Mus musculus: one gene and its partner. The protein of the gene in region 2 interacts with the protein of the main gene of each other region in a pairwise test. Links are inferred from orthologs where the notes say so. Each region holds a gene or a part of one and is shown on either strand. Other genes may lie near its edges.

The links.
Region 1: the proteins of Ush1c (region 2) and Ush1g interact in binary tests that used the Homo sapiens proteins (3 or more experiments, as listed by UniProt). The link is inferred for Mus musculus from reciprocal best matches to the Homo sapiens genes USH1C and USH1G.

What each region holds. Positions count from the first base shown.
Region 1 is NC_000077.6:115,319,077-115,323,516, forward strand, and holds the start of Ush1g (Usher syndrome type-1G protein homolog), read right to left. Parts: upstream 2,843-4,440; 5' UTR 2,781-2,842; coding exon 2,617-2,780; intron 127-2,616; coding exon 1-126. Other genes in the region: proton channel OTOP2, read left to right, coding at 4,343-4,440. UniProt on the Homo sapiens protein: Plays a role in pre-mRNA splicing by regulating the release and transfer of U4/U6.U5 tri-small nuclear ribonucleoprotein (tri-snRNP) complexes from their assembly site in Cajal bodies to nuclear speckles, thereby contributing to the assembly of the pre-catalytic spliceosome on target pre-mRNAs.
Region 2 is NC_000073.6:46,235,578-46,239,904, forward strand, and holds the start of Ush1c (harmonin), read right to left. Parts: upstream 2,914-4,327; 5' UTR 2,888-2,913; coding exon 2,852-2,887; intron 1,758-2,851; exon of another isoform or gene 1,698-1,757; intron 1-1,697. UniProt on the Homo sapiens protein: Anchoring/scaffolding protein that is a part of the functional network formed by USH1C, USH1G, CDH23 and MYO7A that mediates mechanotransduction in cochlear hair cells. Required for normal development and maintenance of cochlear hair cell bundles.

The DNA.
Region 1 (4,440 bases), on a different chromosome or scaffold from region 2:
TCATTGTCCAGGCACCAGATGTTGGCCCCGAAGGAGACGAGGAAGGACAGGCAGTGCAGGTGACCATTGGAAGCTGCCAGATGCAAGGGTGTGTTTCCCCAGATGTCACACTTATCCGGGTCACCCCTGTAGGGACAGCAGATGGAAAGGTAGGATGAGTCCCTTTAGCAAGCCAGACCTGGGGTCTAATTGGAATATTGTGGAGGGGAGGGGGAGGGGGAGAAGGAGGAGAAGGAGGAGGAGATGAAGAAGGGGAAGGAGAAGGAGAAGGAGGAGAAGGAGAAAGAGAAGGAGAAGAAGGAGAAGGAGGAGAAGAAGGAAAAGAAGGCAAACCCCTGGACCTGGAATGTAGCAGCCACTAAAGCGGAAGTTCTTAACCTATGGATCATGACCCTGTATCTCATATTTTACATTATGATTCATAACAGTAGCAAAATTAGTTATGAAGTAACAACAAAATAATTTTATGGTTGGTGATCAACATGGGGAAACTGTATTAAAGAGTCTTAGCATTTAAAGGGTCGTAGCGTTAGGAAGATTGAAAACCACTACCCTAAAATAAACCCATGGGGCTGAGACCTAGATTTCCAGACCAGCAGGCTTGAGTCAACAGATGCTTCAGGATTACCAAAAACTCTGTGTGTGTGTGTGTGTGTGAGAGAGAGAGAGAGAGAGAGAGAGAGAGAGAGAGAGAGAGAGAGAGAGAGAGACAGAGAGACAGAGAGACAGAGAGACAGAAAGACTGAGAGAGCTAACCCACAAAGGGGCGGGGCTACCTAGGAGGCGGGGTGGGGCGGGCCTTCCCCTAGAGAACTGAGGCTGGGAATCTCAGGGGATAAATATTTGATGCGCTGAGAGAAAGGAGTGAATTATTCATGGGCCCTGCGGGGAGCTGGCCCAGAGTGGTGGTGGGCCAGGCCTGAGTCTGGGTCTCTAGGCAGGTGCGGTGGCCTGTGAAGCCACATGTTACAGGGTGACTGTGTCAGAGAACTAGAGGGTGGTGTGTGTGTGTGTACGTTAGGCTTAAGCCTGGGAGAACGTGAGAGGGTGCGCGCTGGTACACAGTGGGCACCGCCATGTCTGCAGGGAGCGGGGCCAGGCCTGGCAATGCCAGTGTTAGAGCAGGTGTCGGGTCTTGGCCTGAGCCAGAAGGGGACTGTGGGGACAGCCAGAACTAGAGAGGAAGAGGGCGGCGACCTGGCCACGCTGCTCTCCCTAGTTCAGGCTGCCCTACGGAGCTTTGCCCCCTCCCTCTCTAATGCCCTCCACATCTGACTCCAGCCCACCCAACTCTGCTGGCTTCCGTGGGAATCTTGCCTCTCTCGGGGTTTAGCACGGGGCCCTGCCCCACACCAATGAGGCCACAAGGCCAGCTCAGGTCTGGGGGAAGAATCACTCCCTTATCTCAACACCGCCCCTCCCCGCAGCTTCCCCCTCTGATTACCAAGTCTCTAGAACCTCAGAGCTTTGGACAGCTCTCTTTCCTTCCATACCTCCCTCCTTGCTCCTGCACGAGACTCCCATGAGCCTCTATGATGGAAGGGGCAGGGGATATAGTAGCAGTGTTTGCCCTCCTGGAGTAGGGCTCTGTCTCAGCTGTACCATTCCACACTGTCCCCACATGCTGCTAGACCGAAGGAGCAGACACAGAAGAAGAGGGGACCATGTCCCTACATATCCAGGGTCCCCTCCAATTCCATGATCAGCACAATCCCTGCCTCTGACCTTGACCCCTAGATAGAGCCTGAGACGTTCACATGAGACCTCTTGAGACATCCTTTTCCTGTCTAGGCCACACCAGTCCTACTAAACTGTTGGTGGGTAGGATATTTCCAGTAATGTGATTTAGTCCCCTTCCCCCACCCCAAACCACTTTAGTGACCCTGAATCTACGTTGCCTGACTCCTCCTCCAGACCCCTGGACTCTGTGCCCACCCTCCCTCCCAGGACAACGCCAGAGAGAGGATGGGGTGGAGGGCAGATGTCCTTTCTACACACTACAGTTCCCCACTCCTGAGTCCTGCAGAGGGGGAGGGATACAGAGAGTTAATCAGTGGCGGAACCAGTGACATTTGGTAGTGTGGACAGTGCCTGTAAACCCCAGAAGAGTGATAGGAAGGCACAGGTCAGGGTGAAGCCCGGTCCGTGGGAGCTAGCGGAGTTGTAGGGACAGCCTTTCTGGCTGCTAGACTGGGAAGTAGGCAGCGAAGGTCTTTCCTTCCTGGCCTCCCCAGTTCAAGGCCCCTGGAGATTTCCCAGCCTTCTCTCTGGTTCCCACCTACCTTTCACTCTTGCTTCCAGGCACCCTCCCCCCCCCAAAGTGTCTGATTTTTGAATACCTCTGCAGCCCCCATCCCATAATCATGGGTCCGATCCCCAAATCGAAGTTCCTCTCCTCTAATCCCTGCATCCAGTCCACAACTGTCACAAGCTCAGTTTATGTCCCTTCCACCTGTGTCTCTCTAAGTACAGCAGGCTGCACGGCCCCACCTTAGGGTCTGTCCGTAGGGGGAAAGGGCAGCTCAGGCAAGAGGGTAAGTGATGCCATGAGGTTTGGGACACCGGGTTCCAGGAAGTTCTTCCTGGTTTTCCTGGCTAGGCAGAGGGCATACTCACCCGCGGCTCACAATGAGGCGCAGAGACTCCAGGTTGCCATGGTAGGCAGCCCAGAGAGTCGGGGTCATGCCATCCTCGTCAGGGGCATTCAGCTCCTTCCGGGTGGCCTCCTTGAGGAGTTCCAGATAGCCATCCCTGGCGGCCCGGTGATACTGGTCATTCATGGCGCCCAAGTTGGACGGGACGGGCAAGGGGCACCGAGAATTGTCCCCGGACGGGGAGGACTGCCGGGTTAGGGCTGAGGCATGAGGTTGAGGGAAGGGGCTGGGCTGGGGCCTGGGCCGCCTGCCCCTGCTGCCGCAGATGGTGGATGCGGAGCGCCAGAGCCGCGACTACAGACGACTACAGACTACCGGGACATCTGAGCTGCACACCGGGGAAGGGAGGGGGGAAATCTCTCACTGCCCAGGGAGCCGCCCAGGAGCTTCCCCTGGGTCCTAAACGCCATGCTCTTCAGCACACAGACGTGACTCAAGTGAAATTCAGTTCTCTCGCTCCAAAAGCGCCCACTCTGGCGTTGCAGCCCTTGAAGCCCAATATAGGGACATTTAATACGGCCTAGACAGAACTCCGGGTGCTGGGTTCCCTGATTTCTTCACCAGTCAAAAGGACAGGTGAAAAGCTGACGAATAATGTGTGAGGGTGGGATGGAGAGGCAATTCTGATCTGGAGGACAGTGGGTCCAGAGGAGCAGGAGGACCCACCGCAAGACCTTCATCCGCAAGCAGGGCGCAGCAGTCCTGCGGTCAGCCTACACTCGTGGGGGGGGGGGGGGTGTCAAACAACAGTTCTCCAGCAGGGGGCGCTAGACGACTGCAGCCCGATTGAGGGCACCGCGTGGGAACCAGACTTTGCAGCATCCAACCAGCATCTCTGGGCAGCAGTAGTAGGGATACAGGAAGACCGAATTCGGATCACTCTGAGGGCAGGTGGGAAAAGAGGAACTGTTGTCCCGATCTCGGGACAGCAAGCAAGATCCAAAATTCCGTCCAGTTCCTGAGCTGCGACGGAGTCTAGGTGCAAGCGGGCAACGGGGGTGGGGGTCAGCTCTGCAGTCTTTGGGTGGGTGTGATCTCTGAGCACCAGGTTACAGTGGGCGCTGGGGGGCAGAGGACCCTCTGTGTACGGCAATATGGGGCCGTGCCCGAACCCTGGCAGCACCAGCGCGACAGGGTAAGGGAATCTTAACAGGTAAATATAAATCTCACCTTATCTGGCTTCCCTAAATTCAGCTCGGAGAAAAGATGGATCATGTGAGTGGGACTGAGAGGTTTATGGAGCCGAACTCTTGTGGCTGTAAATCACTCTGCCCTCTCCGGTATAAAGCACCGGTCCAGCCCGGCGTGGGAGAGAGGAGACGCTTGCTGCCCCTTGACCCCCAACTTGGTGTCGGCTCCCGGTGCAGCCAGGTGCGTGTCCCTGGCCAGGGGACTGTCAGATTTGGGGAGTGGGACTTTGTAAAGGATTCAGCCTAGGGCCGCTTCTTCTTCTCTCTGTACAATATTTCCAGGCCAGGTAGGGAAGGTACAGCTTTCAGATTTTCTCGTTTTCCCCAGTGCTTGGTCCAGCACCCTTAGTCCCCACATTCCGGGGTCCCCAAATCCAGGGATCACATGGGAGGAAAGGAGAGCCCCCTGAGTTGACTTAGAATCCTGTCCTTGCCCCCCCCCCGCCCCGACTTCGGACCTCGCAGTGATCCCTTCAACCTCCTCCAGTCGCCCCCACCATGTCGGAGGAACTGGTCCCGCATCCCAATGAGAGCCTGCCGGGGCCTCGGGCCAGCCCCCGTGAGGTGTGGAAAAAGGGCGGCCGCCTGCTGTCGGT
Region 2 (4,327 bases):
TCTCCCACAGTCCTCTCCATCAGCAGTAGCTACATCCAAGGTGCCTCAAATTTCAGACACCCCCAAAGGGACTCAGGTTGGCTTTGTCCTTAACCCCGCCATTATCCATAGCCTAACAGCTCCACTCCCAGCCTCAATTAATAGGGAAGACAGTTATCCCAAATCCAGAGTCAAGTCCTCTTTCCACTCCAGGAACCACAGGACCAATCCTATTCAAACGTAAACCATTCTCCCTTAGCTGAGTCCTCTGAACTCTGAAGAAAACCCCAAGTCACTACTGTCCACACCTCTCCCACTTACTCCCACCCGCCGCTCTCCTCTCTGCATTGCCTCCCAGAGCCCTGCCTGCGATTCTAACGCACTGCAGGCAGGTGCTTCCCTCTCTGCTTCTGCCATTCTCTCTGCTACTCATCCGCCCTGTGACACCTTCCTCTTTTTCTAGGTTCAAATGTCACCTCTTTAGAGAGGCCTTCCTGGCGACATAGCATACCACCTGCTGGTCTCTCCCCTCTCAGGGTTACTGTTCTCCCAGCATTCAGCCCCTCACCCAATCATCAGATACTGTTGGTTTCCTTGGTAACTGTCTTCCCCAACAGGGCATGCTCCCGATGATTGGCTGGTCTTGGTGCCAAAACTCTGCCTGGTATAGATTAAGAGGTCAGAGAGTGTTTATCACACACACACACACACACACACACACACACACACACGCACACGCACGCGCACGCGCACACGCACGCGCACACGCACGCGCATACACGCACACGCGCACACACACACACGCACACGCACACGCGCACGCGCACACGCACACGCACACGCACGAACAAACAAACAAACGAACGAATAGCAAATCCTAGGAGGGAGGGACTCCTCTGCTCTTATTCACCCCACCCCTCCCTGATTGACTGGCCAGGGGCAGGGTACGCCAGAGCTACTCATAAATGTGTGATTGCTGGAGAGGCAATAAATGTTTTCTGAGCAAATGAATAACCAGGTTTCAGCATGGCAGCTGGGAACAAAGAGGCTGCTTTGAAAAGCTGATGCTCCACACAGCTCCAGGGAGAGACCTTAGTCCCTGGTCATCCTGGCCCGGCCCTTTCCATCCCAAGGCCGTTCCCTCCATCTGGGAAGGAAAGTTAGTGTTTTAGGTGCCGTTGACTGCTTTTGGACCAGAACAGACCAAGAACTGGAGCGAACATTTACAGTAACACACACAGACTTTGGCTGGGGATCCGAGCATCCACACTCAATTCCTACCTAATCCTGTCTCTCACATACACACACACACAGCACAGCACAACCCCCTCACAACGAAGGAAACAAAAGCTCAGAGATCCAGTGGCTCGCTCAAGGTCAGTGAGTGGCAGAGATGAGAGTTGACCCTCAGTGTTGGGACTCTCCAAGAGTTCAATTTACATAACACACACTCGGACACACACACACACACACACCCCTTATTCAGCCTTCATGATAATGTTATTAAACAGTATGCTCAATTCACAAATTTGGGACCTGAGTCACAGGGAGGTCACCCAGTGTCAGCCATGACAACACATTACCTTAAACAGTACCTCTAGCAACTAAAGAGTTAGACTGTAAACTTCTGCTTAGGAGAGAATTTCCCCAAAACACTCAGGAAGGGGGTCTTTGGAAAGCTGTAAATCTCACCCAGCTCGCCTGTCTCTCAACCTCACCTTTCCTCTCAGTGCCTGGATGATCCGCAGCACGAGAGAGGAAGGCTGTTGCTATGTCTGAGACTACAGGGCACAAAGTCCAGCCCAGGCCTTGCTCGCTAGGATGCCTGCCCTGGCTGTGACATGAGAACATTAATAGATAATGACTCTGAGGAGGAGCCCGGACACGGAAATGCAGAGACCTGAGGCCCTCTAGAACCGGGAGAGGAAGAATAGAGGTGAATGTACAGTCAAGTCAGGCATCAGGGACCCTGGGGGTGATCCTCTCCAAAGAGATAATGTGTAGGTAACTCCACTGCAAGAAATTGAAAGAGAAGCCGACTTTACGTTACTCCCAGCCTGAGGCCAGGAAAGAGAAATTTAAGCTCAGACAGGAGCCAGGAGCCTTTAAAGTGGGTTGACTGAAATCGACACTCAGCAAATGTTAACTGCAGCTGAGCTGTCTCCCCCCCTCCCTGCCCTGACCCTGAAACACACACATCTCTGGGCTCAAGGCACATCACCGAACACAAATGGTCCCCTTGACAATTCAACAGGTGCCCCCCCCCTTCCCTGCTGAATTTTCTGCCACTTCTCACGACTGGGAGTGGGGGCAGGAGCATCTCGGCGCGTGCTTAGGAAGCTCTCACCCCTGCGGCCCCTACCGAACCTCTGTGCCCAAGGCCTGCCTCCCATCCACACTGGGCAAGCCATGGTAGGGTGCAGACGGGATCTGACACGGAATGGCTAAGTGCTCAGGACACGTTTAAATGAGTGATTGGCTGACCCCTGACGTTGGGCCAGAGCTCTTGGCCCTGTAGCCTCTGTGGTTCCACAGTGACTGGCTTCCGGGCATCTCTGGGTCTCTGTGTGGAAGGGAGGAGAGGGGACACCCAGAGTGAGCTTTAGGCACTCAGACCCTTCAGACTGAAAGGGCTTGGTATCAAGCGGCAGGGTGTGTATACAGCTCCCTTCCTTGCGCAGGACCTGTGATGAGCTGTTGACATGGCTTTACCCCCATCTGGGACCTGCTAGGAGGCCACCACTGGGTCCCCTGTCCTTCAGTGACCTTCTGTGGCCTCCACAGACCCTGTAATCTGGAAAACACATTAGGTCTTGGAGGACTTTGAAGAACCAATGTGGCCCCCTCACTGTCTGTCCCTCTCAGTTCTGACCTTGTGTCGGAATTCTCGGGCCACCTTCCGGTCCATGACTGAGCCTGATCCAGTTGCTTTGCAGCTCCACTTCTTAGGGTGCCTGGCTGCGGTGCTCTGGCAGGTTAGCTGCCAGGACAGGACCTGCCTCCCTCAGAGCTAGGGGTGGGGCCTGGAAGAAGCAGGGGTGGGGACAGCCCGGAGGCGGGGTCACCTGTCCTGCAGTTCAGCCGGGCGGCCCTGGAAGAAAAGAAGCCTCGTCGTGTGGATGTGCTAATGGTGGCTTAGTTAGTGAGGCTGGCAGTGTTTTCCAGAGTGGTCCACACACACATTAAGATGGAGGAGACACAGGGCAGTAGGGGTCAGGGGTAGTTTGAGACTGCTTTTCCTTTCTGAAAGAGCATCTCATGTGGCCCAGGCAGGCCTTGAAGTGAATGTGTAGCAGAGGCAGGCACAGTTGTAACTTCAGAGACACAAGAAGGCTCTTCTCTAGATCTCTCTGCCATTTGCCAGCAAGCAGCCTATTCTCATGGTGGCTAAATTATGGCCTAGACTAAGGTATAAGTATAAGTTGTATGCCTGGGGAAATAACTTGCGAGAATGATCCGGATTCTCAGCTTCTGATCTAGTACCACTCTGGTGCTGTGGAAAACACTGTGCTCAGAAGCAACTTGGGGAAGGAGAGCTCTATTCCATCTTAGGCTTCCAGGTTCTGTTCCATTGCTGACAGAGGCAAAGGCGGGAACCCAAACAGGAGCGTGAATCAATGTGTCCTGCTGGCTCACTCTCGTGCTCTGACTCTCGTGCTCCCAGGTTCATGCTTAGCGAGCATGCTTATAAGACTCAGGACCACCTGCAGAGGGATGCTGCGGTCACCATAGGCTTTCTGTAAGTCAGTAGCCAGGCTGTAGTCCAGCCTCTCTCCTTTACTGCCTCCTGCATCAATTAATACTTGAGGCAGTCCCCACGGACAAGTCCACAGGTTAATCAGACCTAGGCTTTGCTCTCAGCTGACTCTAGGTCATGTCAAGTAGACAGTTAATGCTAATTAGGATTCTTTGTCATTAACTGAGTAAGTCAGAAACTGGACAGAAAGGCTTATGGGGCATTTAGTGGTCCAGAAAAGACCACATGGGATGCAATCCTCTTTCAATTTACACCTTTGATTCTCTTTTTTCTTCTCTTTTATGTGAGTACACCGTTGCTCTCTTCAGACACACCAGAAGAGGGCATCAGATCCAATTACAGATGGTTGCAAGCCACCATGTGGTTGCTGGGACTTGAACTCGGGACCTCTGGAAGAGCAGTCGGTGTTCTTAACCACTGAGCCATCTCTCCAACCCCTTTTCTTCTCTTTTTTGAAGTTTATTTTTATTTTTGCGTATGAATGTTTGCTTGCACACACACACACACACACACACACACACACACACACAACCACACACACACAGTGTGCATGTCTGCTGCTGTGAAGGCTGTGAAGAGGGTTCCTGGCAT